Linked DNA regions of Styela clava. The protein of the gene in region 2 purifies or fractionates together with the protein of the main gene of each other region. This does not show direct contact. Links are inferred from orthologs where the notes say so. Each region holds a gene or a part of one and is shown on either strand. Other genes may lie near its edges.

Region 1 (16,491 bases), on a different chromosome or scaffold from region 2:
AATGCTGCATCACACATGTAGGTCGTTGCAAAAGGCGATGAAGTTTCATCAGTCATATCGTTGCATACTCTACCCTATGCAGTCATCACGGACCCCAGATTCCTGTCTGGGGAAACCCTGTTCTAGAGAAGCGAACATATCCTGGACCCAAAATCTGCAGCTTCACAGACAATTAACAGAATAACACTTTTTAATCTGTTTAAATAATAATGGTACTTAAAAACCAATTTTATTGAAAATGAGAAAAATATGCGATTTAGAAATAACTTTCCTATCAGTACTTTAACAGATAGAATCAAGACCAATCTGGCAATAGCAGACTCTGAAATATATTATGCATATTGAGGACTGACAAGGGTTATTCTTGGCCTATAAAAAAGCCTTGTAGAATGTAGTACTGAAGATTACACTAATTATTCATGCAATTTTACAAGTAAATATATATATCCAGTGGAAGCCTGGCTACTGCAACAGTGAAGTAAGTGATCCCATGAAAACAGATGTTGCACAAAGTTAGTTCTGTAAAAATAGGTTCATCACTATGCAAGCAGCCCAAAGTGGAATTATGTACAAAAAGGTCTGCTTCACCAAGCAAATAATACGATTGCTCAAGTGCACCGTACCCGTTGGCGCTGTGACTTGAAAAGGAGGTTAACTTGCAAAAGTTATTACGTAAGTGCGTGGCTTTGAAATCACAAAATATTACACTTCTTTCTTCTTTTGGGTTCAGGGGGTTCTAAAGCAGCCAGAATAGCCTCATCAAACACATTCTTCAGTCCTTTCTGTAACAAAATACACAGTGTCAGCGAGTTTGCCTTCTGCTTTAGGCGTACAATGGCATAAAAGAATCGTGATAACAGGGGTTAAGATGCACTTCTTTGTACAGCCTAGTTCCAGTGACATGTTAAGCTATACAGCATTTTGCTGAGTGTGGTATACATATTAGTTTGTCCTGTTTTTTTTTTTGACAAAATGAAACCTTGTCAGCTACAGTTTTATCTGGGCCATAGACTTTGTTGCTGGGCTTTTTATATAAAAAAGCTGTTCCGAAGTTTATCATCATGACGTTATTTTCATAAATTTTTCAGCGGAAATTCATATCCATAGAAACTATAGTCTTAATTTCAGCAGACACAAGCAGGCCAGGATTTGCCCACCCCTGCTCTAACCCACTGCTCAACTCTTTAAGTAAAAAAGCAAATACGCCTACAGGACATGCAGAGAAAAATAAAACAAAAAAATTACATGCTAAATGTTTTTGATTGGTTCATCGATACCAAACTCAAATTTCCCCCTTGTCAAGCAAATTTCAATCAGCATAAATCATGACCAGAAGGACAACTTTTATTAAAAAGTTCCTTAAATAAAGAAGAAATGAATAGACAATTATCGCATTACAATAGGATTTAAAATATTATTCTTTGTTGCATACAACCATTCCAATTGACGAGATTCTATCTTAGTTAGAGCTACCTAGAGAATCAAATGAAATAATTCTGTGCTATGCTATGTAAAAATACACAGGCTAAAGCGGTTTTAGAAAAGCGAGCTAATGCACATGCAGAAGCAATACACAGCGCCCAGTGTTTTTGAATCGGTTTTTATCATTTGGAGAGTAATAGCTCCCAACAAATTCATTGAGAGACTGTAGAACAAAAGGAATATGGCGTTTGAAGAAAATTCTAGTCTGATTTCAAGAAATCATAGGTCCACTTGCTTGATTATTATGATAAATCAAATTACAATTATTGATTATTAAATTAGATACAAAATTGCTCAATATACTATTATCGGAAATCTTCACAAGAAAATGAGATAAGTAAGCATATGCAAAGCAAATAAAAATAGCATTCAAACGAAATACAACATGAAAAGAAATATAGTTTCTGTCCTCTATAATCATCATTCAAGAAAATAGGGATAAATTTATGCACAAATACGTAGATAGAACTGAAATGGATGCGGAAATATTGATCAGGCAACCTTCATACCACAATTACGTACAAGATTGTTATAGCAATTCGCAATTTCCTCGTTTCTTCTTTTCAGATGGTGGTTCCAAAGCAGCCAAGATAGCCTCATCGAAAACATTTTTCAAGCCTTTCTGCATGTTGATTAGCACAATTTTTATATTTTGTGATAACGGGATATCAATTAAAGCTATGTAGTACCAAGACTTAATAGTTTCTTACCTGTGTTAAAGCAGAGCATTCAACATATTTTACAGCCTTTAATTCTCTAGCGAGTTTTTCTCCCATTTCATGAGCGATGGGTTTTTGCTTATTTTTGGATAATTTCTCGATTGTTCCAACATCGTCGCGCAAGTCAACTTGTGTACCGACAAGTAGGAATGGTGTTTTTGGACAGTGATGTGTTATTTCAGGAACCCACTATTGAACATAAAAAGTTAAAATTAGATTATTTCTATGATTTAAAAAGTCTGTAGGAGTTTCCAAATTGCTTAGCCCAATAAAAACATCAACTGTTGCTACCGGGATGGAATTTACTTGCTTATATCGTTGCCACTTATAATTTACTAATGTGCAATATAAGTATATAATTTTATCAGAGCAAATTCAGTCAAGACAAAACAGTAACCTTCACTTTCTAAAACATCCTCACATATTATCAACAAACCACAGCAGCACAAAAGCATAGACAAAATTTAACTATTGGTACGTAGTTCTGCAAATTGACAAAAAAGGGCACTGAAAAAATGCTGGATCTTTAAATCTAGTCTTTATGTATGATCAGGAGTACACATACCTTTTCTTTAATATTTTCAAATGAGGATGGGGCAACAACTGAAAAGCACACCAAGAATACATCAGTTTGAGGGTAACTGAGTGGCCTTAGTCTGTCATAATCTTCCTGACCTGTGAAAGAGAATATTGTGTTACAACACATAATGAAATATTTATAATATTCGTAAGCCGTCCTTCAATACATTTAAAAACTGGGTAAAATTAACATTACTTCCACAATATGTGAACTGAGATGGCGAACACCGGAACGTAGTATGTGTACCGACCAAGTTAGGGTTAGGCAATAATTTTATTCCAGTTTTCCCTATTTTAGTTTTTTTACGAGTTCGGGGACTAGCCAATTGACTCCCGTAGTATTTGTTACTACGGGAGTACCAAATTAACAGCATCTGTTTTGGTCAAAATTTGCTAGCTTGTTAGGAGAATAACTAATTTAACAATGGCTGACAATTTTTATTAGTCGATAATACTTTCACTATGCTGTGGTCTGTGGATAATGAGGCACATTCACAAGAATGTAGTGGGATGCTCAGTGTGTGGCAGCCAAACAATTTTTCCATCGCTCACCGAGTACATAGATTGATTAGGTAGGTATAGAACAGACAAGAACTGAGCTTGACACGGTTGATAAACTAGATAAGCCTAGGTAAACATATTTACAGAGGGAATGATAATTTGAGATTATTGGCACCCAACTCACTTATTTAAATTAGTGAGAAAATCATCAGTGGGCGGAAAAACAGTAAAAGAAAACGACTAGTCATTAACAAATGTTTAATTGACAGAATGCTTATCCGTCTATTTAATGAGAGTTTTTACTCATCTCAAATAAATATTTCACCTGCTGTATCAAATAATCCCAATGTATATGGTTCTCCACCAATCATTACAGTGACGGCATAATTATCAAAGACCTAAAAAAACAGATTATATTTAAATATTTTGTCTCTATGTAGATATTTACCAATCTACGACATAGTTCTCAGATTCCAAGAATAGCCCCCATTTCCTAAAGGAGTCTGGGTTGCCATAAAGGTAAAAATGGGCATACCGGCGCTGCGCAACAAGCTAAAAGAAAGCGCAATTTAAAAACTTCACTATTGGATTCCTCAAAAATAAAGTCAGATTTACCCACAGAAAAAAATTTCCCTGTAGCATTCGGGGTTTTTGGAAAAAAAAGGAAATTTTGGTCACATGACGGTGGACACATATTAGAGACGCACGTTTCAGAGTCAAATTGAGTGTTTTATTTTATTGGACCAAATTTCTGGATATCTTGGAATCGGAGAAACGTGTCCTACTTTTTGGTACACAATTGCAAATTATTTTCCCTGAACTTTCAAAGCATCAATTTTTCCAATAATATTTAATTCAAATGTGTTATTCATATATAATATCATTGAATAATGATGGCAAATCTGAATAGTTAGAAAGCAAGCCACTGCGGTTGCCAATTTACATGCAAATTTACGTAGCGTGCTGAATATATATAGTTTTAACTATAAATAGCCCGGTCCATCATGCGCCCTACCAGTAATAATCACAATGGGTCATTGAATACATCACTTAAGTTTTTTTTTTTTTGAAAGCACTATTCTCGTTTATACCAAATTCTTTGAATATTATGTTACAAACACTAAATATACAATTATGAAACAAACTGCAAATAAAGGCTTATTGTACATCCATGATATTTTTATGCTGTACCAAGAGAGCCATAAAACGACAGAAATTTCGTTGTCTGGAATAAAAATATGCCATGTAGGCACTTGTTTTAAGGATTAGAATATGTTGACAACCCCATTGTTTACTTGCATGAGCTCCCAGTTATTTTAGTCAATACCTGAAAAGAAAATAGATAATGATTCGCATGCATCAAAACAGAGAATAGCATACCGTTGGCACATATTCTGATGGAAATTTATTTGTTGTGTATGAAATAAGCAAACAGGTTTTACCAACAGCTCCATCTCCCACAACAACGCATTTGATGGTTTGCATATTTATTTTATTCAATTAACTCTATGGAAGAAAACAAAAATATTAGTTAGATAGATTGAACTTATGGGTTGTTAATTCAATTTACTATAGATTGTGTAACCTCTGGTTAGACTTTACGGGCCAAGCATAGCTGCACATTACTTTAGTTTCCACGAGTCTGAACCCGACACCTGTATATGGTTACCATTCTTTTTGGATTTTTTTCATCCCCTAATAAGCATGAGAACAACCTAAATCAGTGGTTCAGTAGATTTGATTTTGCCCGCATTATTTCAGATATTCACGTGCCAACCACATATTTTCAACATGTTTTTGAATAAAACATACTTTCGTCTTACTATCTGTTATTTGTAGCTTATTGTTAGTTACCGTAGCTACTTTTGAGGGGCGCAAGACTTGACAAATTCTAAAAAGGGGCGCGGCTTAAAAAGTTTGAGAATCACTGATCTAAATCAATAAATTTAAGTTTCATGACATGTTAGGTCGAGGAAAAATAAAACTAAAATATACTCCAACCAGTAAAGTCCTGATTTTAAAAGTACTTCAGTAAAACAATATCATCTACAAAATTTTCCATTTTTGACTATCAATAGTTAATAGTATCTATTTATTTCTGATTCCTATTGTTATAGTGTTAGTTCAGACAGTAATATAAGACATCATATGAAAGACTATGTGCCAGCTTGAGAGATGATTCATCCCCCCACATGAGATGACTCAGGGTATTGGTAGTCCAGAAATCACTGGGTCAACTAGTGTCAGCAGTCAGGCAGAAAGACAGATGTGCGAAACGTACCTATATACTTTTGCGAAACATTTAAATAAGTATTTATGATTCTGAAACATAGCCTGAATCGAGACATCTTTATAAATATGAATTTGAAAACATATTTGTCAATAGCCATGGAAACTGATTTTGAAATTCAGTAATATCTGGAACTACACTGTTTTGCTTGGTTTTCAAATTTGCATGCAGTGAAGTAAAAAATAATTATATATATATGGCTTGATTAGCTGGACAAGTGCTAATTTTGTTGCAAATTGCAATATGTATTAAAAACAGTGTATTATAAAAATTTACAATATTGAATACACACTTCAACTAATTTTAAGAGTATACAATTTCAATATCACTGGCTGGTTATGTAAGACTTAGGTCCTAAGTTCCAGTTGGCTCTTTTTGCCAGAAATATGTATATTTTAGTAATACGGTAAGTCAAAACAAGTTTACTTTTCTTAAACAATAAAATGAAAATCAATTGTACACAAATCATGAGAAAATGATAATTACAGTGGGGTGGGATGGGAAAATCACAGGGAACCAAAGCTGGTTAACAAGCAGCAACACTTATTATCTAGGACCTAGGTTCTAATCATGGCACCTTACATGCTTAAGAAACGTCAATGCTTTTTTTGGAATATCGTAGATGACTAAACAAGATTTTTTTATCGAGTTTTTGCCACTGAATCTGTAAAAATGCGCTGATTCAAAGAAGCATATTTGAAAGTCCAAGTCATATATATTGAAAGCAGTATTCACAAACAATACAGTTCAAAGTAATAACATTTTATGAGGTTTTATTGCCATGGTTCTAATTTGTGACAGTAATAAACAAATCATGATTGTATTCAAGCATTGATTTTATGGCGATTGTTAAATTTGTAATAAACATGTAATCAATAACAGCTATTGGGGTGTAATAACATAAAAATTTCCCACTAGCTTATGACAGTTACTTTTGTCTACCATCATCTGATCAAAGAAAATAATGCTTGTCGCTGAGGATTTATGCTATGGGTATTACTTATGGGTATTACTTACAATTTGGCGTGGCAAAAGAATTTATTCATTTTTTATTTTTTTAATTTGTTTGTATATTTTCCTTCCTTTTTACTTTTAAGTCTCGCTTTTTTCGCTTCCGACAGTATCATGTCTCGATGATTGTGTGTGTGTGTGTGCGTGCGTGCCTTCATTAGTTTTTTTTTACTTTTGGGTGAGCGAACACGTACTACTTCTTTTATCAATACCTTTCCATCTAAAATCTGTACGTTTCAAACCTTACTCTAGGTTTTGTTCGCTTTCCCGATTCTATAATCAGTTACTTTTACTTTTGTTTTTATCTATTTTTTTTATCGTCTATTGCTGATTATGGAGTCGAAATAAACTTATACTTATACTTAAAGACAAAAATTTGAACACAATTGACATTTGGACATATGTCAAAAATAAGATCTGAGTGCGTGTTCTTTATGTCACTCATATCCATGAATCTTGAAAAGTAGGAATCGCCAGTCTACTTACTGACCTAAGAAACTGAATGTAAAACCGTGTAACTGCAGAACTGTATACCCAGCTAAACACACAGCCTCTATTACACTATGTCTTTAATTTGAACATGAATAGTTACCATTACCCAATCTGACATAGGCCTATGACAGTACAATATTTGAATATACTGATATAATGTCTGAATGTGGCATCACAGTTTCACACAAAAGTTTAGAGTGGCATCACACTGAACAATTTTTTGTAATTATTGATTATCCTCATTTCATTCAACGTTCAACATATCTCTGTTCATCACATATTCTTTCGACCCTTTTCTTTTGATTATTAACCTAATTAACTTCCGGCCTAATTCCTTCCTTGAGTGATAAAATGTGTGTTACTTTCAGCTACCTTGTGCCTACCTATGTGACGACGCTGTTCGAGTAATATAGCGGAATACCTGGACTACGTCAAAATTCGAAATCCGACAATACTATTGTTTGAAACATCGTAACTAAGAAATAATTATCAATGGGTGTAATACTAAAAAACGTAATGGTGGTATCGCCAAGCACAGCAGGTCCGAAGAGCGAAACGTATCAACATAAAGATAAAAGCCAATTGAGGAAGCTAACAAAAGAGTGAGAATAGTTGCTGCGTCGTTTCTCTTTCTTTCTATCTTTCTTTCTCTTTCATCAATGGGCGGGCGAGGCGTTCCGGGTCTGACTGACGCTTTATCAGGGGCAGTATAAATACCGGCGTCGCCGTGAATGAACCTGTCAGAAATGGTTTCGTTACGTAGCTCTCTTGGTCGTGATTTGGCTTGCATGATGTCAGCGCTTGGCTACATCAGCGTACGGTTGTGTACGTTTATTGACGTATTATGTCACAACACGTTATGGATAATTGATGAGATTATACAATAAATTTGTACAATTACATCGACTATTATTTTTATTGTGAATACACCACTTGCCGTGTTAAACAGGCATTGATAACATAAACCATTTAATTTAACTGCGACTTCACCGAAGTCTCTATTATGTCAAGTTGGGTAACAAATCACACAACCTAATTGGCCGCCCATCGCTTCATTTATCGATTTTATCAGCAAGCTTATGTGTTCCAAGCCATCGTTCGCATAATATTGCAAACTGTAGTTTTTTTTTTTTATTTCTCTCGTACGATGTTTAAGAGCCGGATGTAAAACCTCCGTTTCGGCCTCGCACTGCTGGTGTAGTGGTATCATGCAAGATTCCCATTCTTGCGACCCGGGTTCGATTCCCGGGCAGTGCAAAGTTTTAATATTGCAAAAAGAAAAAATGAATGCAGACAGCGTTATCGACAATTTCTCAGGAAGTCAAAACATGCATTACGTCATAGACTTGTCAAACACGGAGATTGTCAATTGAACAAGTCTGTCTATGACAAAAACGTTTCAGTAATTGATACTTGAAAATGTTCATTGTCGTCACGCTTTTTCATTGCCAACAACATCAAAACTCATAGCTTATTCATTAACGTAGCACTCATCGACTGGACTACTTTGGATAGATTGTTCAAATTATTAATTGTATGGAAATGACACAAAAGGGAAATCCCGACATTAAGCAACAAATTACCAATGACAAATACGGCTGTTTCATGGAAGCTAGTTCCCTCGTTTATTTCCGTGACAATGACTAATCGGTAATTCGAATTCAAGCAGAAGCTCACTAGAACAACAAACGCACATAAATATTTAAATGACCAAACATTTCCGTAATTGGACTTCGTCTTTCTATTCTACCTGTATCAAAGTTAAGACTTTTATCACCACGAGTGCCTCAGCTAGATAACCAACATTGTTTTTTCGCGTCACCCTTCTCCGAGAAATGCCATTTTCATGTTTTTTTTCCTAGTTTTTGTTTGCATTAAGTGTATGTTCATTTTAGTGAATAATAAACTACTGAATGAACAAGGTCCTGTACAAGAATGCTATTATCTATAAGTAGACCTACCAGACGTCCCGGATTGGCCGGGACAGTCCCGGTTTAAACGTCTGTCCCGTCCCGGATAGCAAAATGTCCCGGTATTTTACTTTGGTGAAATTTTCAAAAAAATAACTCCCAACCTGATGCAAAATTATGAAATAATTCCGTCCCAAAAGGCATAACTTTGCTTTAACTCGAGGCTTATTTTAATATCTTAATTTTTTATCTTATTAGGTTGGATAAAATATCGCGCTTAGCTTGAGAAATCCTTTAGTTAGGGAATAATGAGTGACGTTTATTGCGTCATTATTCTATTGACTTTGATGATACTACAGCAATTGCTGCATTAGAAGCCATTTTAGGTATGCTTGGAGTTGGAGAACGCATAATAACTTTCATTTGATTTTGTTTGAGTCATATTATGCTGAGAGTAATCTAGAACTTGAGATTCTTTAGAATAATGCAATATCAAAGCTTATAAATATGTAATAAAAATTTGCCAAGCTCAGGCCTTCGGTCCATGTATTTCCGGGAGCCGTTTCCCGTCAGCAATTACATATCAACACGGTGAGTCCAAGTTTAGCATCTCTAGGTGATGTACAAATCGAGCTGGATTTTCATCGAATGTGTTGGAAGGACTATATCACCTTTTTTCTTCCACCCAAAGAATTTTAAACTGGCCTTTATTTTATATTAGGCGATTATGAATATTTGATCTGTGATAATTTGCACCACATAAAAAACAGATTTGACCAAATAGAGATCTTAAAGTTTTTATTTTAAATGAAAGACGACAGCGAGGGTGGTTTGACCAAACAACAGAAACAGATTAGTTTCTCACTTGTGATATTATACTAAAACTGTATCATATTTCAAACAATTCATTCATCGGGACATATTTTAACCATATCCCTCGATATGATTGCCTTCGAGGTATCTCTATAAGTTTGTTTGCCCAAAATTAGCAGCACATTCACATGGACATGGTACAGACACAGTTGTGCAACATGTGCAATGGATTTACTCCTCATGTGTTGCCTAATGTCAGAAGGAACAAAAATTAAATGATTGATCTGTATTTGTCCAGTTTGTAAAAATCAAATCACTGCACTCAGAGAACTTAGAAAACTTACAATGTTCACATTATCGACATTCGGTCACTGGTTTTTACAACTCCTATCTGTACCATATTATAAAGACTTCCCCACTAATCACCATAGAAAAAGTTTAACATTCTTGAGATTGCATACCAGATTTTGGCAACAAAAAGAAAAACAGAGCACGCAGATAAATCCAGTAATAACTCTCAAAGTCAATATGATCCACTCCACACTCCTGTAATGCTTCTGCCAGGAATCGCCACTAACACAATCAACTCACATCACTTCATCATTCGTTTGAGAAAGCTATTATGGAGATTCCATAAATTGGCCACAGTTTAGTCTTACTGCAGAGTTGTACTCTTCCTCAAACCTATTCTTATTCCTGAAGCTTCTCCAGAATATTTCTTTATCTCAGGCCTATATTCACGAACTTGTCCTCTTCTTCGTATCTTTGCTTTCCTGTATTTTTGTCTCATTTTGACACGAGGATTACGATCAATCTTCCGCCTTTTCTGACGAAGTCCTTTGTTCTTGGCAATCTGTTGACGAAAAAAGTTGTAAAAATGAGAAATGACAATGATTGACCAATTTGAAAATAACATAACTCGCTCGTGAAAACAAATCACAGCCATTGGAGGGTGCAAAGTCAAAAACAAAATAATAAAGATGACTTGGTAAAATGAATCACATAAATTATTGATCAGGCTTAACTAAAATTGTGATAAATCAATATGGAGTAGATCATTGTCTTTGTTGAAGAATACAAAATGTTTTACCTCATAATTTATTGCCCTTCGACCATTTGTTTCATCGTCATCATTGTCAGCAATTCTGTGAAAAAATAAATATTAATTAGAATTGCAGCGCAATAAAGTATATTTCAGTGGCATGCCTAAGGAAACTAATATAACCTTCAAATAAATAAAAATTTTCTCTATAAAATGTAATAAGAACTGCAATGAAGAATTGCTCGTTGCATGCCTGAAGAAACTAACATAATCTTCAGTTAAATCAGAATTTTCTCTGTAAAATGTAAAACTTTAACAGATGAAGAAACTAAAAATAGTAGTATTGAGTGACCTCTAATGCTCAACATTAAAATTAAAAATTCACAATATGCTTCATAACATATCATTTATAATTGAAGGAATTGGCCGATAACAACATAATGTATTTTTCAAGTGTATGTTTTAAAAAACACAGAATTCTAGTTCCGGCTGGTGATCCCTATTGAGTTTCAAATATTTAGGTTCCATTGGTCACCGGACTATTTTTATTCACAATGTTACTGTAGAATTTAAAGCAGTTCATCAATGCTAAACGCATATATATTACATACCTGGTACTCCCGTAGTGTGTGTACCAGCTTAGGGTTAGGCCTAATAATATTTCGATTTCCCTTATATTAGTTCTATTACGAGTTCGGGGACTGTCTGTGTTAGCCCCTGCCCATAGGTTTCAGTCCCTTTACACAACTTGATTAAAAATTAGTTACCTCAATAATGGTACACATACTTCTAAAGCGCCACTTACCTATCATCAGAATCATTTGATTCTTCCAGTTTTTCTAACATTGATTTGGAAAATTCTTGCACATCACATTCATCAGTATTTTCCTGAAAAATATGATGCATATATACCAGAATGAACAAAATAATGGAATGAGTTATTATTAATTTCACGACACGAAGAGAGATCATCCAGTAATAAAACAACATGAATTTCATGGGTAAATTTTGCTGACCAATCTGACCCATTTTGTGTATATACCTAACAAATGTTAAAATAAGTAGACAACAAACCTTGGGGTTCGACTTTCTTTTACGTTGTTTTTTAAATTCTACCACTTCATCAATTTTCTCAAAATCAGATGCTTCAGAACTAGACGCTAACTCTTCGCCATTTTTAAGCGAATCGTCTCCAAGGTTATTATTAAGGTTTTCTTTCAAGAGTTCATCTATTTCAGGGCGTAGTTTCTTTTCAATGGGGGACAATTGGTTGATGACCTGCAGAAAACATAAAACCATTCTTAATATGCATGGATATATTAATGACAACATAAGTTCCAAGGGTAAAGGTCTGAATCGTGATATGCCGTATTGCGCAATTCATAATTAAAGTGCAATATTAGGATAGGATTTTCATATTTTTCCCGGGGAAAAGGAAAGTGACCAGCAGCTACGTGAACGCTGTGGTGACAAAAAGTCCAATAATCCTCTTGTACATACATACCAGTATTTATTCCCCCACAGGATTCAAACCTGCAAACCTGTACAAGGTAATCATAGGTGTGACGACAATTCCTAACACTTAGAAAAATGCACCATACCTTAGCCAATATTAAAACAAAATTGCTGTCTAATTTGAGAATCAGTATTAGCTAAACTTCCATTGATTTAGATATTTCAGGATATCACAGACAAAATTATATCGTATATTGTGAACTATGTAGCTATGTATGAGACATAAAAACCCTTCGGTGTTCAAAGTAGGCAAATGGATAGCATGGTTTCTTTTGTTGGTCAGGCAAAAACAAGGATATCATCAAATAACACTCACTGTTCTGTATTGCACCAGTCTTGAAACAATTGGATGGTTCTGTACTTGAGTTTTGTTGGTTTTCAGAGCCAAATAAAATGATATGTTGAGTAGATATGCAGAATAGACTCTGTATTTGAGACTTATGTAATCAGATCCAAGACCCTTCGGTATCGTCCCATTTTTCACAAGTTTCATCAGCGGTGAAACTTCATTCTGTAGCTCAGATAATTTGGTCTGGAATGAATAATTTTTTACTATTATTATAGGATTCTGATATATTTATATTATTAACACCACTGCTATCAACCTAACAGAACTCTGTACAGACATTTTCATACACTTGTCACCTCAAACTAGGCTCTGTGTAGTCTAAACAGTGGCTGCAGCACATTAGTGTTGCACTGAATGAATATTGGTGTGCCGGCAGGTGCGGCGAAGAGATTTCATTGTTGAACTTATTTCAAGTGATTCCAATTTCCAATAGACAGTTAAAAGTTAGCATATCGACTTACAGACGTGCATTTTAATTTGAAACTTGTAAAGAAGATGAGAGGAAACCAGCTGTAGCTGCTCAGGTATTTAGTCATACTGTGACCCAAGCACTGAAAACGCTTCTTCACCTCGGGTGATGCCGTAAACATTCTATGCAACTGTTCATTTACATTCTTACTTTATTATTTTATAGCAAAATGGCTCAATGGGTATAAAATGTTCATGTTTTGTGATAGGCGTGCCACGAATATTTAAAGAGCCTAATAGTTTGTCGCAATATAAAAAAGATTGGGAATCACAGCACTGAGTCTTTTTGATTTGGCATTGCTACCCAATTTGGGCAAGGTAGTGGACATGGTATATAAAATGATATCTTTTAACCTGTGATGCCAACATGATCCAATGCTCATCAGGCAGAGTCACTTTGATAAAACCCTGAGTTTTGAATGAGAAACTGAATTTGTATTCAGAATGAATATTTCCTCAACACAATCAGTGCGAGGCGAATATATTTGAATAAAATTACAGAAGGCAAAAACCTTAAAGTCATGAATCAATCCATCAAGTTCCGGTGATTCTTTCTTCACAAGTTTCCATTGTGATTTCTTGGATAACGAACTAAAATCTGCGTCAACATGAGCCTTTAGAACTTCATCAGATTGCTCTTCTGTTTTAGTTTCCGGAACCTGCGGAAACAATTAAAAAAATATTAACACAGCAAAAGATGGACATCATCTGCTAGATGAAAGAAGCAAAGATAATTTGGATAATAACCTCATTCAGAGTACTTGATTCTCACAACAGCAAGATTACTGAAACCCCATAACGATGCTGAATCCTCCCATTTCCCATTGTTCAATATAGCATAAAATTTTAATATAGATATAAAAATTTGTGAATATGCTTTTGATTTAGCAAATTATTGGATTCTAAAAATCTAAAAAGATCAAAAAATTCGTGAATATGCTTTTGGTTTGGCAAATTATTGGCCCCAAGTTTCCAATCATAACTCACATTCAATATATCCAATCCAAAATCATCCTCATCCATCTGTTCTGCCAATCTTTTCTGAATAGAAAGAACTTCTTCTTCTTCTGCTTTTTCAGCTTCTTCTCTATCAGAACCTTCAAGAAGAATACTTGATTAATATTCAGGGTTGTCCTAAGATGAATAATTTAGCATTCAAATAGGCCTGCTACACAGCAGTGGTTTTCAACCAGGGTTCAACTACACACTAGGGCTCCGCCAATACAGTCTGCCAAAACTTGCTAAACTTTGAAGATAATTTTGTTTTGCTAGTATTAGATTTGCTTTTATATATATTTATAGTTTAAACAATTCTTCTTACAGCAAATAGAAATATTTTACCATTATATCATACCAGGGGTTCCCAAAGCCTTTGGAATGTTGCATTGAGATTCTGCTCCACCAAAATAGTGGAAACTACTGCTCTACAGCAATAAAGTAATTTAAATTATCTGAATTTTCAGGTATATCTTTTACAAATAGCATTAATATTTTTATAAATAAAATTTTTAGTGCATTCTTAACGATAGTCAAAAAAGTAGGGACCGGCCAATATATCATCTGTTATTCACAAATTTCGAATTATCAGTATCGGCTAATTTTACCGATGTATATCGGTCGATCACGTGACTGCCAAATGTCAAATTTACGACGGGAAAGCAGTTTTAACTAACTAATTTTAACACTAATAATTTTTAACATAAGGCGATGAAATCGCTAAAATTAGATTCACAAAGAAAGGAGTAAATGTACTTTTTATGCAATTTTTTGTCATCATTGCATAAGTTCAACATTTTGTTATAGATTTCATTTCTTTTGCAAGAAAAACACAAAAATCTGTTCTGAGTGTTGCCTGTTACTTGTAGCCATCTCTTTAGGTGAGGAAACATCAGTATCGGCCTAGTTTTAGAAAACTAACCAGACAATGACATACGGTAACCATTTTACCACAATTATAAAAAAAAACATTACCTTCCAGGCCATCATATGTGTCTGCACCATAAAATGATGATTTTCTCTTTCCCCAAGCACTTTCACTTGTGATACCTGAAATGAGAAAAAAAATAAGGAAACTACTAGTGATTGTAAACTCATTCATGAAAATATAATATCCTATTAATGCAGGAGATATTTGTAATTCAATATTTTTAAATGCTCAGAGCTACTAAAATCAACATGCATTCAGTGCGCTTGATTGGTAATAAAATTTGCAAATCGTCTTTTTTTAAACAGTGGGCCAAATCTCTTCATAAAATGCAAATACAAGATTCTGATATTTCAAATCCAAGATTCGGATTAATAAAAGAGAAAGATTTAAATTTTTCAATCTCTTTAAGATGTTTTGTCTTTGTGATGAACCTAACACAGAAATGAACAAGTTTGTAAACTAGGCTCCAAACTCTATTTACAGTCTTAAGCAGAGTACAATGACAGGCGCTCCAGAAGTGTGTGTACCAATATGGAGGTAACTAATTTTGTTCGTCTACTTTACATCAAGTTGTGTAAAGGAACTGAAACCTATGGGCAGTGGGTATATTCACTTGGCTAACAAAAACAGTCCCGAACTCGTAATAGAACTAAAATAAGGAAAATCGAAATAAAATTATGGCCTAACCCTAACCTGGTACACATACTCAAACATCAACTGAGTGTCTTGAAGCAACAGAAACTGAAGAATGACTTTTAAATCCAAACACTATGCTGAACCTTCCTAACCCGCACTCCCTAGTCAAATTTTTAAAATATTTTTAATTAGCATTTGTCACCTAACCAATATGGCTTGGAAGGCAATTGAAGGCTTGTTTGAATCATATTATTGTTTTCTATACGCAAGAGGTCGCTAATGGACCGCTCCATGTACGAAATTTTGCGTACGTGAGAAAATTCATCGACGATAGTATACAAACATTCGAACCTCTCTCCTTTATGGCCGTTGAACCTTACTTATGATAACGGCACTCTCTCGCAAGCGTTATAGCCGTTTTGGTGTTTGTTTTCCTAACAAAATGATATCACAGGCAATGGTGTAGCGCAAACAGCTGTCGAGTAACAAAGCGGTATATTTGTGAAGTCAACGCAGTTCTTGTTTGTTTATTATTGTGCGGGTAATTATTAGTGCGTGTTTACGCGAGGAAAATGAGCGCACGGCCGCGCGAATTACTTTCTTTCAAGTAATAACGTATTCCTTTGTATGTTCCTTAGCTTTCAAATATTTACAGATATAAAACTCGTAAAATTGGAAATATGCCAAAAAGGAGTGACGCACAACCCGGGGCAAAAACACTCGGACAAGCCTATATCATGCTTGAAAAAGGCGCGAA
Region 2 (16,871 bases):
AAATATAGATTACGAAAACAGTTCATAAATTGTAAAATTTTTATATTATTTTAATGATTTTACTTAACGCTTGCTTGCATAATGCGAATAAAAATCAGTGATTTAATTATTTCAATCGAAACAGGAAGAGCAAATCATTAAAAAAATATATTTGAAAGGAAAATGTTTCAGACAATTGAGTAGTAATATATGCTATCATTGGATTACCACGGGTACGAGTAAACAAGATCTGAATCTGTGGTTATGAATAACAAAAAGAAAACAAATATTCTTGACTTCTGCACAGAAAGATATTTGCGGTAACAGCAATGCTATTGAATCCTTTTATTAGAAGGCTTTAGAAATACAGAAATCACCACAGACAACAAAATTATTAACAATTATTAGTGAACATAAATTAATCAAAAAACGCAATCTGAAGTATTACTGCCCTATTTATAAAACTTGACAATTCAGTTGACCAGTTTACTGAAATAGAATTAAAAGTATGTCGGCCAACAAGCTGAATGAAAACTAGAAATATAAACAATACAATATTAGAGGAAGTAGATTCGGTTGCACAACGAAAATTATGAATGACAGCTCTCAGTTTTTTAAAATCTTTTTCGAAAGTTTGAAATAGAAAACCATCATTATCGAACATATCTTTCAGTCCAGTACATGATTGTCAATGTATTTTAATTTACTAATAGGAAACAATGATTTTTTAGAAAATTTGTATATTTTAAATTATTGTATTTTCTTGTGAAAATCACCATTTTTTGCAGTGAAAAGGTAATTTATTAGGTCCCATTGAACTGATTAAATTTACAGATCTTTTTCGGTTATCCCGCCTATTAATATATGAATACTCAGTTAGGGTTTGATTGAGGAATGCAAATCGTTCCTAACGCAAAGTGTGTCAGCCTGCAAGCTGCATGAAAACAAGAAATATAATACACAAGGAAATATTAGAGAAAGTGAATTTCCTAGTAAAATTCAACAGTACTGTTGTCATCTATCAGTTGCTCTATGAATTCTTCAAAAATTTAGTTCAGCAAAATTTAAAATTATTGTTTTTTCTCGTTTTTCCTCATTCCTCACTTTTTTGTGGTAAAAAGGTGATTTATTAAGTCATACTGAACTGAATAAATTTATGTTATGGACTCTTGATGCAATGATTTTGATGCAAAATTTGTTCAAAACTCTATTTCAACAATGTCTCATATTATATCTTGAAACAATTGGTCCACTGGTTGAAAAAAAAGCAAGTTTTGGTCCTGACATTGCCAAGAACACCATTCAATGTTCTAAAAGAAACGTATCGTGGCTGCCAGATTTAAACATATTTCTATCTTTTTATCTGGCAACAAGGGTAATGCAATCTAACATATATTTATTTGAGGACAATCCAAAACATATCTTATTTCATGGAGAATAAACTACATAGATATGCGATCAGGTTTATTACCTGCATCACACACCCGCACCAAAAATATTAAATAATTTACAAGATTTGATATTTTAAGAACTAACATGTCGCCAGAGAATAATTTTCAATGAACACCCTACCACTATGTGCCATTGTTTTCGGGCCATTCCAACATAAAGGTCCTATTTCATGAAGAGGAAGCTAAATACGGCATCCGGTTCCAGTATACACATGGCGCTGATGATTATTTTTCAGCATACGTAAACGAACTTGGATGCTACAGACATCAATAAAATGTATTTGTACCAAATGTATTTTCTTATACATGTAACGAACTAGAATATCATGGGTGATGATTTGTAAAAGAATTCAATTTTCATACTGGAAGATCTACCCCTAGGTGTCATGTTGTTTCGGATCATTCCAACATAAAGATCCACATTTCATGAAGAGGAAACTAAATACGTAACCAGGTGTCAGAATATAAATGACGCTGATAATTTTTATTCAATGTACGTAAACGCAACTTAGACGTTACGTAGAGCGAGACTGATATTATTATTCACACTGAAGCCTCATTGTATGATCATACTTCCTGCCACAACACCAGGCCACACTTGATTGGTAAAATAAAAATCATTTTTCATATCGGAAAGTGGGAAGTCGCAACTACTACTGATAGAGATGAGTCAGCAAGTAAACAATATTGTTTTGTTTTTCGATGTATTAGAATGTTGCAATATTAATATACTATACTATATTATTTCCAACCTAGGTTTGCTGAGTTTCGAATAGAGAATGATCTTATACTAAAATGATATTGACTTTTACCAATATATCTATTCTTATTGTGGAACTACTTCAAAGAAAATTAAAATTATTGCTAGGCAAAGAGATTTTTTTTAGAAATTTACCATTTTTGCGGTGAAGTCATGATTCAGTAACCCATTGCGCCGAATGAAATTTATCGCATTGATGTGTCTTGTGCCAAGATTTTAAATCAGGTTTATCAAAAAATGTGTTCATGGCCTTATTTCTAGCAAGTTCCATAATATGGATCCTAAAACAATTAATCTGATAGATAAATAGAAAATTAAGTGTGTAAACTACCCATGAATATTCATATAAATTGCGGACAGTACCAAAATTCAAATACACATACTCGGAGTATTCCCCACAACCATTTTCTACATTATGCAATATAGCATTTCTTTCCTGTAAGCATTGTGTAATAAAATAGAATGAAACTAGAACTATGTCAAGACATGTTGAGTCATGACTTTCCCTAGAGAATTGCTGAGTAAAATCGAATGTCAAACACTCTTGTTAACTCCTGTTAACGATACAGTATTAAACACTCTTTTATAAAGATTGCGCATAGGTTGGTATGCTGGTGTAACGATGCTCCAGAAGTATGTGTAAGTAAGTAATGAAGTAACATGGAGGCAACTACTTTTGTTCGCCTCCTTTACATCAAGTTGTGTAAAGATACGGAAGCCTGTGGGCTTGTGGAACTAAAATAAGGAAAATCGGAATAAAACTATGGCCTAACCCTAACCTGGTACACACACAACTGGAGTACCGGTCTAACTATGTTAGTGACCTTGAAGTAGGCTACTGTTAAATTTATTGGTTTTCAAATCCTGTGACCACAAGATGTAAAGTTAGGTAGATAATGGCGAATCGAAAAGATTTTGGTCTATATGAAATTCCTTAGCTATTCGTTATTCAAGCATCAAAAAGGTCCAGGGTGTGACAAACTTTAAGAGTACTTCTTTAGCCTGAAGACTACCTCTCGTCAGACCCCAGGTGTAGGCTACATATGGAGGTAGATCTCTCGCTCAAATAGCATCGATTTAGGAGTAGTCAGAGAGACTAAGAGTTATGGAAGATTTATTTACACATTTACATGAGAAAAATCCATCTCAATTTGCTTAATTAATAAAAGCAATATACCTCTTCCATCAAAAATCATTTTCCCTCATCAAGCTATGACTGGTATTTCCCCCATACCGATATTGATTAGCAATTCATGATAAAAATACTTCAATCAAAAATTTATCAATAATTAAGCAATAGAGTATTGATCACAAAATTCCTTTGATGAGTCTACTTAATAAGCTTTGTTTAATAAAAAATTTATGAATGAGCTTCATAAATCGCTTCATGCTTACATTTACCAAGTACATTATTTCAACTGACAAGTATTTTCACATCTTCGCTTTGAGTAACAATGTAGACATACAATCACTGTATTGTGTTATTACTATGTATTTTGAAAAGAATCAATTTTTTCCCGTCTAACTTTAGCTTATTAATAAATTTATACAAAACTGGTGAGATTTTGGGCATGAGATTTGAACCAAATAGCTTTGACATGTTATGCCAGTGTTTCATACAGGATGACCATAAACATAATCATACAAAATCTTTCCAAATCTTCATAACTTGATTTATTCACCTACGATATTGTATCCTCACAAATAAGCAGAGTTTAAAAATAATTTATAACAAAAATTAGTTGTGTCAAAAAGTATGTGTCGTGTTAATAATAAGTGTTACGATTTGTAGGGTTGGCTTATATGCAAATTTTCATAAATTCACCGTTTTAGGGCCGTTCTTTTGGGGTCGGCTTATATTTGAGGATATAATGTAATAACCTACACTTACTGTCTAAACTTCCAACCATGAAACCAATTCATTCATATGACCAGAACAAGCACATACGCAAAATATTTTAGTTCGGAAAAAAATAAACCGAATCTTTTTGAATCTGCATGGCCAACTCAATTTAAAAATATTAGATGGAATATATATAGGATGTCCATAAAGTCCTAGAATTTTTTAAATTCCAAAAGGAATTTTTCAATCCTATATATTGTTTTGGCCCTCACAGATGTATTAAATAAAATAAATTAAAACTTGAACAATTACTGACTAAAAAACAACAAACCTGGTTAAGATATATTGAGAACTGATTCGATAACAAAATTGAAATTGTAAAGAGACTTTATGGACACCCTGTACTTACAATCTGTGTGTATAAGACATAGCAAGTGATATAGAATTCTCACTGTAATAATTGAACAATGAAATACCTTCTTTTTCTCGAGTCTGAGTTCGTTGATGAATGCGTGTAAATTCTTAACGATTGACTTCAGAAGACTTTCGGCAACAATCTCATGTTGTCCTGCTATATCATTCAATTCTGCAAGCTGACTTGCAAAAGCTTTATTTGTTGAAAATCTGAGAAAATACAAATTTGATGATTTGAACAGGAAATCTGATATTGATATTCTGCTGATTATGCTGCCCGGATTGTTGGAGATTCAAATACCACCATAGAAAAAGAAGAGTGGATGGAAAATGGAAAGATTACAATCCATCCTAACTACAGAACGACACACTATAGAAATCGGGTGGCATTGTCCCGTTTCAGAGAAACCCATTTTACAGATGATCAGACATCCCTCCTTTGGGAGACGTCTGGACATTGTTGTCCCTCAATATCGATAATAATACAGTATAATGAAGTTGCGCAAAATACTACAAAAAAGCGCAATCTAGTAACGTCATCATTGAATTCCTTGGGAAAAAATGATCATATTTACTAAAGGAAAATTTTTTTTATCGTAGTATTCGAAAGTTTTTAGCAAAAAACAGCAATTTTGGTCATGTGACGGCTGCGATTAATTTAGATTATTATTGAGACAAGCATGGCGCGATATGAGGCATCTGACGTGGTCCCAGACGCCCCTCGTTTGTGAGACACATCGAGTGTTTGTTTTATTAAACAAAATGAAGGAAAATACTTGGAATTTGGATAGTGTGCTGTACTGAACTATAGTAACCTCAGTGGCTGCCTGTGCAGAACTTTGTATGGAGCAAATTTTTTATAACAACTATTGGGCATATCCAAGTAGCCTCTTACACAGAGCTTGGTCTGAGAGAATACGTAAATCTCCAAAAGTAGCTTCTTACAAAAAGCCTTGAGTACTCCCGAAGTATTCTAGCCTTGTCCTGAGAGGATACGTGAACCTCCAAAGAAGCTTCTCACACAAATGCTTATTCTGAGAAAACACGTAAACCTCTAATAGTAGTTTCTTATACAGAGTTTGGTCTGAGAAGATACGCAAACCTTCAAAAAATGATTCACTTACATTGATGCATCGTCGTCTTTCTTTTTAGGCGAATATTTTTTTGCAAGTCTTCGAAGTTGTTTTGCGTAATCCTGTTCCACGGAGCTTCTTTCTTGCACAAATTTCATGTATTTATCCGTATATTCTATTCCATGGTGCAAATGTTTGTCCACATTTTCAAATTGATCCTGGGAAATTGTAGATTTGTTTTTGGAGTTGTTTTGATGCAGGACTGCTTTTGGAAAATCCTAGCATAACACCCGCTAGCTGTGGTCTAACTTGACTATTATAAATTTCAAACAAGCCCACTGCCTCACCCAAGTGTAGTCACGACTTTGACAGGCAATGTTAACTACTAATAGTCCAGTGTTCTTGAAAATTAGTACCATACACATCAGTGGCTTAGAAAAGCCTTGTTTAAAATGAAGTAAGAAGTTTGGAATTCGGGACTTTAGCCCAACACAAGACTGCATTCAACATTAAACAAAGTCTCACGTCTGTACTTACCCAGAGTTCAACGCCCCAATCCATAATGTAGTTAAGTGATTTCAAGACTTTCTATGACTTAGTATTACTCTCTGAAACGACAAAATACTGAAACCGTTTTATATTTTACAATACCGGTAATTTGATAAACCTAAACAAACATTATTTTAAACTGTATATTTCCAATCTTTCAAAATAGATTCAAATTTGTTGAATGTGTAAAACAGCGCTGGGCAAATTTGCCTCGACTTCACTTTTAATGCATAAAACAAAAGTGCTCATGAACTTATTATCATCTGCGCACAGATATCGTAACAATGTCTGTTGTATGGCATTTGTTTTGTAGTAATTAGCCCAACATGTATACCGTTAGTTGTGTTGGAAACAGGAATAGAAATAGCAGGTGCTTCAATCTTATGAAATTAATGGGGCCTGCACGCTATCGTCCATATTTGGCCCAGGAGTACATTAAGTTTGTCGACGACTAGTATAAAACACGAGTCTGAAAATAGTTTTATTCATAACCGAAACAAAAATTGCTTAGATATTGATCAGTCAAAAATACTTGAACAGTCAAAAATAAAACGTGTATTGGCTGTGCATTTACTGATATCATAAAATTATAATGGCAGAATGGGCTGTGTTACTCTGAACATGTCTTTCAAAAAGAACTGTCAAACTCGGTTGGTGCTGTTACCGATATAGGAAAGGATTTACATATTTATCCCGAGAAAGAGGAAAGTCGATAAGATGGCTTAACCATATGGCGAACCACGGCCTCTCGTCTGGATATATTCCGTTACTTTGTTAGAGAAATATATATAGGTAAAAAAATATATAAATCCACATGTATTTGTTTAGTTTTAAACAACTTCCAAAGAACTGGAAAACTCTTAACTCAAACTGTCATATTCAACCTGGTCATCTGAAAAGTCTGTTATGACTGTATGAAACAACAGGTTGGAAAAACCTACGCAACTACAAACAGTTTTATTTGTTTTTCAACTACTGTAATTTATATCTTGTTGTTTGGTTCGCACTGTCGCAGGCTCATCTCACAGTCTACGGTACTCCGTTTACAACACATCCAAGCATTTCCTATTCATGGACTTTTTAATGTTTCACAATTCTGCAGTTCACTGCCAATTTCCAATCTTAGCTGCCATGGTGCAGGTGCAGTGGTGTGACTGCATGATTGTGGCACTATTTTTTCTATATTAGGAATTTAAAAACAATAAAACTGTCAACCTTTTATACTCAGTATACTTAAGACTACAGCTTTCAATACAAAATATACAAGTGCAATCTCAAACTAGCCAACAAAACCAGGCCTAATTCATGTTATTGTCTGATATTTTTTGGCAGCATGTAGGATTTAGGGTCTTATGTTATACTGTTATATTATTCTTACTGTGTGAGAACTTGACTGCGGTTCACGTCCATATAACTGTATAAATAGTTAGAATATCTATAACTAAACTAGAAAAATGAAACAAATTGCAAATGCCTACATTCAGACATTGCTGTGCAGAGGTGGCCAACCTAACTAACGACTGCTGGACTGCGATGGACTAAAATCGTCAAAATAGCTGTGATCGACTGATCTGTAATAAGGTCATACATGTACGGTATTGGTACACGAATACGGTACCGTAGGTACTGAATTTGTTAATTTGATGATATAATTCAACCCGAAGTAAATTTTCATTATTAAGTTAAGATTTATTCGAATCATACATTTCACATCTAAGGCCTAATAATCATCAGGCTTGCCCACAACCGGCGCTGCATGAACCTGGTTCGCGTTAATTTTTAATTTTTTTGTGTTATTAAATTCACTCAACATCAGACGCGATCGACTATTCGAGACATGGCGATCGACCTGTTGGCCACAGTTCATAAATCTCGCTAGGCATACGCTGGATTGCGGATGTGGGCCCACCTTTACTTGTGAAACTATGCTCTCGCGATGAGATTCGGCCCTTTACCTCCTCTAGTCTAACGCAGTGATTTTCAACCGGTGTTCCGCGAGAGACCTCCAGGTGTTACGCGAAAAAATTGCTTTTTTGAAGTATTATGACGTAATTCGAATAATATAAATAGCGTCGATTTGAAAATGGCGAGTCAGAGTTTTGAGAAGTTGGTATAAAATACTTGTAACCAGATGAGAAATGACAGGCCATATTTTCTTTTAATGAACTTTATCTCGGCGTATATTTTTTGTGATCCACTCCATTCTTGACCAAATAATATTCCAAAAATGTGAACCTTAGGATAGGAAAGGATAGGATTTACATATTTATCCCGGGGGAGAGGAAAGCCGATAGGACGGCTTATCCATATGGCGAACCACGGCCTCTCGTCCGGTTACCATTCCAAGTCGGGTATGGGATTAGTTATATATTGTTTGTTTCCGGAAGCATGGACTTGGTGGTGGAGGAAGCCGTAACCGACTAGCGGTTACGTGAACCACCCAACGACGGCGAGGAGTCCAGCAATCCTCTCGCACATAACCATCCCTGCATGGGATTCGAACCTGCGAACCCACGCAGAGTAATTAGAGGTGCGGTGGCGAGCGTATTCCTAACGCTTAGCCCGTTGAGCCACACCGCCGCGCCTTATACTCGACTATAAATTAGGCCGCGAGCCGAGGCCCTGAAAAATGCCTAGAGTTTCGTAGCGCACATCAGGTAACTACCAGAAAATGATTTTAAAATGTTCCTTAAAAATTTAGTAACAAATATTGCCTTGTTCCCACTTCCAAAAGTTGCACGTTTTACGGAAAAGACGCTTTTACTACAAGAAATATGTGCTACGATCTGTCCAATATTCTCTACATTTTCGGCAATGAACAATGACTTCTGCATGACGTAACAATTGAATCAGCTGTTAGCGAGCGGATGAATATTAGTTATTATTGCTCGACCTTGCGTTGAGTTGGGCAGCCTTTCCATAGCCCTGTTTAGTTATTATTAGTTAAGTTATGCTAAGACGTTGTTGAAAATGTATAAGTAAGTTAGTAAACACTTGTAGATCCTTACCACGGATATGGGCCGTAAGACGAAGCCTTGAAAACGCCCAGAAAATGAGTTTCGTAGCGCACATCTGATAACTAAATAAATTCTTCAGTTTTGTGTGAAAATGAACATACTGAACGCATTACAGCTTGTTCCACAATTCTGATGCGAAATTGAATATAAGTGGTTCCCGGAAATTCAATAACCATAGGTTTACAACACATACATAAGAACTATCCAATTCGAGAGCCCTACAGCACACTAACACAAATGTATTCCTGTAATGTTTTGCCTGACCAAAATCGGACTTCCTCAGTCAATCATAATTTATTAGGTGGATTACGAAAAATATGGCATACATGTAACCAACAACAAAAAATACTTTAATTGTGTGACAGGAGTCGCGAGTGACCTCGAAGCAGCGACACCAACAACGCTGATTCACATTAGCGAATAAATTTTATGTAATAACCACAAGCAGTTTACAACAAGAACAGCATAAAAAGCTACATCCATTTTATTGAAGCTATCAAACGTATTTATTTTTAAGCAATGAAGTCACAAATTAACATCGTGAGCACGAAAACACAAATAAATCAGTTATTTCTTACTTAGAAATTTACCGAAAAAGTCAAGAAAATTAAATGAATGTACATAACATAGTGAACAGAAATATTACAATTAGTCTTTTTTTAGTTTATGTGGCTATGTATTTGACCAAAGGCAATATTATTTCTAGAAACAGGACTACGACACTAACAGATGTCCGAAAAAACAAACGAACAAATGATACTTATTAAATCAACTGCAATATCTAATTCACTTTCTTCTGAATTGTTTTCGAAATCCACTATCTCGAAAATCGACATTTTCTCTATAAGTGTACTGTGATTTTTGCAGTCAATACAAAAACAAAAATCGGTGCAATTTAAGTTGATTTTGGCACGCTTGCATAAATTATTTTGACTATTTTTCTTACATTTGCAGTTTGCCAACTCAAGAACTGATTTGAGGGCCACATGCTCCTTCAGTGAATCATTGAATCAGTGAATCAATCTTATGTTTGCCAGTGTTAAATAGACGTGCCCTGGTATCATTTACATTCTTCATATCCTCTTCATACAGTGAACAAACAAATTCCTTAGCTTTATTTATTAATGCCTCGTTAACCTCAAAAAATTTTCATAGTGGAGAAAAAAATGAATTGAAAACCTCAATGAAGTCTCCAACATGAGTTTAATGAGCAGTTCCAATTGCAGAAAAATACAGAAAAAAGTATTTCAATATGAATCCATCCAAGCCCATCTGTTTGCAATACCGGAAAAACAGAGAAAATCAGAAAAAGCAGAGAAAATAGGACAGATGGTAACACTTATTTATTGTAATAAAAGCGTCTTATCTGTAAAACGTGTAACTTTTGGAAGTGGGAACAAGGCAATATTTGTTACTAAATTTCTAAGGAACATTTTAAAATCATTTTCAGGTAGTTACCTTATGTGCGCTACCAAACGGAAAGATAAATGACCTCGGCCTAAATGGAGTCATGAAGTCGGAGGAGATTACATTCGTTGCATTTTGAAGCTTTTCTTGTAGTAAATATTAGGGCGTGGCATCATCAAAATCGTCACGTGAAGTGTTGAATTCGCAAATTCCGTAAATAAAATTGTGAATTTGTAGGTAACGAATTTAGCGATGATAATGGTCGCGGTAATGTTTTGTTAAAAAAGAAAACGTTAAAACTTGAGGTGATTACCGTATTTGCTCGTTTATAGCCCGGGCGCTTATTTTTTTAAACATACTCACTAACCGGGCCCTTATTCAAACCGGCCCTTATTCAAGCAGGGGCGCTTGTTAATTTTAAAGTAAAATTACACACAAAAATACCGGTAGATAAGATCGATCGTTACAATAATTAATACCGTATATTGTCATTTCCAGTTCTCAAGTATGATTTAAACGAGATTAATGAAAATTTTGACTTTTTCTACGCACCGCGGGTACAAATCGGCCAAAAAAAAAAACTTTTACACCGGGCGGGTATTCAAGCACCGGCCCTTATATTTATTTTCATATCCTGTTCACACGGGCGGCTATTCAAACGGGCCCTTAATCAAGACCGGGCGTTAAAACGAGCATTTACGGTAATTCTAATCAGCGTCTTCCCTCTATTAGGCACAAAAGCAATTGGGCACAAAATTGTTTACAATTTTTTGGCATCAGGTCGCGTATGTAAAACATCGTTCAAGAAGTGATCTTTATCGTCATTTTGCCTAATGACCACGTAGATTTCAGCTTTTAAATCAACATTCAAGATTCACGCAATCACAGATTTATCTAATCACAGTATCTAATTGATTTATTTCGGAAATAACACTGACACCAATGTGGAGCATAAGAAACTCAATTATCGTCTTATTATATGTGTGCTCGATAATGATAATATTATTCGCTTAAAACTGGGACGTTTAATTTGCAAACGGCGATAAGTTAGATCAAAGCCGGGGTAAACGATGAAAATCAGAATAAAATTAAGTTGGAATTTAAAATCGCTTCCTCATGTCATTAACATCTGTCGCCGATGTGAACGCATATAGTTATAACAAAATATGAAACTTAGATCTCCGCCGATCGGCGAGAATTAATCTTGCGCATAAGAACAAAGGCGGTAATATGAAAACGTTCAGGGGGCAAAAAAAGTAGCGATTATGACAAAATTAAACAGTAAAAATTGCTTTGATGCCAATTTTCGATGTTTCTATTAATTTCCAAATTGACCTCCGACCTTCTGGACTCCTGTTGCGCATAAAAAAAACGCAAGAAATTGAGAGCCGTTGAGAAAGAGCTGCGTGTCCTCAATTACAGCCAGAATAAAATATTTAAAACTCATCAAAAACCTCATCAGACCCAAATATCACATTAAAATACAATTTCTGTTTCTAGCTAATCATAGTATATATTCATAAGCAAACTCGCAAAAACATTCATTTGTACCGTACTTTAGATCTTGTAGCTCTGAATCGGAATGTATCACGTCTTTTCCAGCTAAAGTTGACAAGCTATAATATTAGTTTTGTTATTTTATTTTCATGCCAAAATGATCGATGTCAGTTAATTGCATAATATAGTTTATTTCCAAAAATCTCGTTTGGTGTTCCGCCACAACTTTAGATTAAAAAAAGTGTTCTGCGATACAAAAAAAGGTTGAAAATCACTGCTCTATTGAATCGGGTGTCTGTGGGATGTTTCCCAGGGCATCGATTTCCTTGTTTATTTCCATAACCATAACTAATCAGGAATAAGTTAACAATGACGAAACGACTGCAATTTATGAAGCCCATCAGACCCATCATATAATCAAGAATGGTTGCAAACCTTGCCTCGATTTTGTGGTTTTGCATGATATTTGTCAGTTTCAGTTGCATTTCTGAAAAAAAGTGGTAAAAAAAATAAATAGCTAAATCAGTGTTTCTCAAACTGCGTACCGCGTGAGATGCTCAGGTGTACCGCAGAGCTTTAGGGAATTTTAGAAAACAAGCTTTTCGTATTACACATAGGCACGCATGAATGAATAACTAATCAGGAAAAAGTTAACCATGACGAAACGACTGCAATTCATGCAGCCAATCAGACTCATAATCAAGGATGGTTGCAAACGTTGCCTCGTTGTGGTTTTGCATGATATTTGTCAGTTTCGGTTGCATTTCTGAAAAAAAGTTGTAAATCAAATAAATAGCTAAATCAGTGTTTCTCAAACTGCGTGCCGCGTGAGATGCTCAGGTGTACCGCAGAGCTTTAGGGAATTTTAGAAAACAAGCTTTTCGTAATACACATAGGCACGCATGCAACGGGCGAGCTTGCGAGAGTTCAGTGCGCGCTATTCATTATAAATATTATTGCGTTGTCGTTGTAGTAAGTGTGATTGTCACGTTATAATTGTATTGTTATAATGTATTTGTAAACGAGGCTTCCACCTCCATCATGTTGACTTTCGCGCTTATTTAGGTTAACAGAAAAGCGAATTCGGACGAGTTTTGGCTATCTGCTTACAAATTCAACTCATTTATCGGTGGAAAATCCATCAAAATAATCTAACCATTTGTGTATTCATGGCTCTGTGAACACGGATTTTCTGCTATGACTGAAATTGAAAGCAAAAAAGGGAGCGGCGGAACCTCGTTTCAATTGTTTCTCTAAACAGGTACACATATCGCGTTAACATTTGCAGAATTAATTTGTTCAATGCAACTATATTTCATTTTACAAATGTGCCGCAATTTTTTTTTATTTGCTTAGTGCTCCGAGAGAAGGAAAAGTTTGAGAAACACTGAACTAAACTATCAATATTGAATGTGCTTATGTGTGTTTTACTACTGTGTCAAAAGTTAGTTGCTGAAGTTGATTGACAACACAATCAAACAAGCAGAAATAGGACCTGTAGAATTTAACTCTACTGGTAGGATTAGGATAATTCATAATGCAAGTTTTGAAGTAGCGATAAATACCCTGTCAAACTTTAGGCAATGTTGCGATGAGTATCTTGTGAACTGCTGAACAATAATAATAGATATAAATTGGACCTTCCGGTCGCAGAATTTTTATCTCCACGAGATAGACATACGTAAATCCATGCATTTGAAATCAAGAGTTGGTTAGCTGGTACTGGGATCACCGGGATTGGTAACTAGGCGGGAAATGTTGATTTAGCTAATTAGCAAAAGTTAGCCTTATTATATTGTATATTAGCGGCAATGAGGCATTATTATCCATGTAGGCTATCTTGGTATTGCCATGACTTATTTAAAAGGGCGACCACGCCACATCGTTTAACCAAATATTCCACAATTAGTCAGGATTCCGAAGAACGACCGACAGGCCAATTTTGAAAGAGCCTTGATAGAGTAGAGTCCAAACTAATGTTTGAAGTTCGAAACGAAATTTTGAAGACAATCGTTTATTTATTAACATAATGAAAAGACATTTTGTACAAACAAAAATATAAAATAGAGTAAAAAATACCATTTCATATTTGAGGAGGGGCTAAAAAAAACAATAATAATTTGAGCGGAGACACTGGTAATTTATGCATAACAGTAATAAATACAAAATTGGGAGAAAAAAATCAAGCGCTTTGATCAAATAAGTATCCACGCATGTCTCGAAGGTCTGATATAAAACAAAAACGACACAAAGTGAGATAACCATGCAAACGAAAGTGGTCTGAGACTTACACAACATAAATGCACTTATAACACTCATAAGTGAGTTTCTGAATCTGCATGTTTGGCAAAGCACGATGACAACTTGTGTATTTTTACACTTTTTTTCCACCCATAAGTTTTACCGCATAAATCGCAAGAGTATGGTTTTTCACCAGTGTGTACAACGCTGTGTTGTCGCAGTTCATTTTTCTTTGCATACTTGGCACCGCATATTTCACAGGCGAAGGGTCTCTCTTTGACAAGATTTTGTCCCGCGTGTGTTTGCATATGTTTGTTCAAGGATACTTTATAACCGAAGCATTTGCCACAGACTTCGCATGTATAAGGTTTTACCCCGGTGTGCACAACTCTGTGATTATTCAAAACTAATTCAAACACAAAGGTTTTTCCACAAACTTCGCAGGTAAATGGCCTTGGCTTGTTATTGTCTGCTTTTTTTATTGTTCCTGGTTCCGCGTGTTTTTTGGCGTAATGCTTCTTTATATTAGACTTTTCCGCGAAGCGTTTTCCACAGACATCACAGGAATATTTTCTCTCTCTCATATGTACCATTGATATATGTCTGGTCAAATGACCATTTTGAGTGAACGTCTTGTTACAAATTTCACATTCGAATGGCCTTTCTTCTTTGTGAAGCCGTGTGTGTAACCTGAGTGCGTTTGATGTGCTTAATACTTTCCCACATTCTTGGCAAACATGGCGTTTGCATTCAGTGTGCTTTCCACGTTTCCCCTTTTTCACTCCATCTTCATTCTTTGAATTAAATGTTTCGCGTTTGCTCGGCTCATCTTGGCCGATCTGCATATTTTTGGAAATGCGGAAATTCAGTGGTAATGTCGAAGCAGAAATTGTATTATATATCGGAAATAGAAAAGATTGCGGTTTCTGAAAAAGGAGCAGGTTTTGAAAATCATAATATGTTAAAAAATATATACTATGACATCGAAATTTTTACGCAATTGTACGCGAATTTGGGGTATTAGCAATAGGAACTGATTTTAGTATCGCCTGTTTAATCTAGTCAGACTGAAATAAAACAATCTACAAGTTGTTACCACGTATGCACAATCATATTATAGCGAGTTACGTCTTAAACATTATTCACACCAACTAGTTTGAAACTAATACCAAAACTGAGTGGTTGGTTATTCAAATCACCGAAGGGCTACAAGTGAAGATAGACTCGGGAGTACGGTGTACGGGAGACTCGGTGTATATAGCGTGACAAAAATTGATCTACTCTCCTGATAAAATATGATCGATGCATTTTTTCTCAAATTGTAACGGAGCCAGAATCAAGCTCGTTGTTGATTACCAACCTCCCGTGACTTGACTAAACTCCTAAAACAATTGAAAAAGCGACCAATTCTATAATTCCTTACCATTGCGAGACAAATAAACATACATGTCGGAATATTCGCTACTTTTGAATGATCTCGGTTTTTTATCGTGTTTAAAGTTGATTCAACTCTCCATTTACCGAGGCGCTATACTCTTCTAATTATATAACAATACAACTATTATTAATCGTATCGTATTAACGCGTATATAATAATAACTACTATTATTATTAATATACGCACTAGCCATTAATATATACAATCATATATATTAACGTTTAGAAGACAAAACGAGTCAAACGACACAAAGAAAAATAAGGATCGACGAAATTGATTATAAACATCTTACGATTTATATAAAAATTGGAACTACTGTTATATCTCTGTAATTATATTGTATATCATAGTAAATACGTAATCCGCAGAATATCCCCAAGCCACATCGCCGCTGCACAGAGTCACGTAATTCGAATCCCAGCCCACCACCATAATAGAGAAATATTGATTTATTTTCCGAATATATAAAAAAAAATGTAAAACTACAATGAATGACAAAAAAAAAATTATAGAATATAATCGGGAGGGGGCGGGCAAGACTGCAAGGTCAACTATGTCGACCGACCCCTAATAGGATACTTTTAAAATGTCTAATATACCGTATATTGACCAATGTCTATCAATTGGTCTCCATTTCAAATTTGTGTATTTTATGAAGTATCAGAGTAAACTATCTATCTAAATAACATAATCTCTTACCACGACATATCAAGTATATTTGTGAGCTCTCTTTGTTTAGATCATGCACAAACTTCTTCATACAAAACAAGATATGGCTTACTAAGAATCATTCTAACGAAAGCTCACAAATATACTTTATATTCCGTGGAGAGATTATGTTATTCCTATTTATCTTTATATTACTATATCGTTCAAACATCCTTGTGGCAACCTTACACATACAATTACGGAGTAGAATAAACAAGGAGAAAGCACTGGCAATTCAGTACACAATACCCTACTAGTACACCCCATAATATCTATTGCCTGATAAATCATACTATCGTATTTTTCTGATTATATATTCCGACTTCTCTACTTCGTATTGTATACGTGGGCTAGTCTTCTGGAAAAGTTTTTCTCTTTAGAATTTCGCAGCATTGGCAAATTACATCGTTTTTCTTACATCGACTATATTCTATATGTCCTCAATATAAATATACCTGCTGTCAGTCAATCACAATGTCAAACCATTCTTATTG

The links.
Region 1: the proteins of cdc42-interacting protein 4 homolog (region 2) and cell division control protein 42 homolog purify together in Drosophila melanogaster (affinity purification with western blotting; 4 studies listed by BioGRID). This does not show direct contact. The link is inferred for Styela clava from reciprocal best matches to the Drosophila melanogaster genes Cip4 and Cdc42.

What each region holds. Positions count from the first base shown.
Region 1 is NC_135256.1:6,369,094-6,385,584, reverse strand, and holds cell division control protein 42 homolog, read right to left. Parts: upstream 4,788-16,491; 5' UTR 4,767-4,787; coding exon 4,662-4,766; intron 3,680-4,661; coding exon 3,607-3,679; intron 2,877-3,606; coding exon 2,767-2,876; intron 2,391-2,766; coding exon 2,193-2,390; intron 2,105-2,192; coding exon 2,012-2,104; 3' UTR 2,005-2,011; intron 783-2,004; coding exon of another isoform or gene 693-782; 3' UTR 177-692; downstream 1-176. Other genes in the region: something about silencing protein 10-like, read right to left, coding at 10,453-10,650, 10,888-10,942, 11,645-11,727, 11,914-12,117, 12,671-12,886, 13,684-13,830, 14,159-14,268, 15,143-15,217. UniProt on the Drosophila melanogaster protein: Regulates mbt kinase activity and is also required to recruit mbt to adherens junctions. Together with mbt and Frl, regulates photoreceptor cell morphogenesis. Together with Frl, has a role in the neuronal development of mushroom bodies.
Region 2 is NC_135254.1:6,314,322-6,331,192, reverse strand, and holds the start of cdc42-interacting protein 4 homolog, read right to left. Parts: upstream 6,217-16,871; 5' UTR 6,082-6,216; coding exon 6,058-6,081; intron 5,739-6,057; coding exon 5,572-5,738; intron 4,658-5,571; coding exon 4,510-4,657; intron 1-4,509. Other genes in the region: uncharacterized protein LOC120344092, read right to left, coding at 14,306-15,157, 15,655-15,675.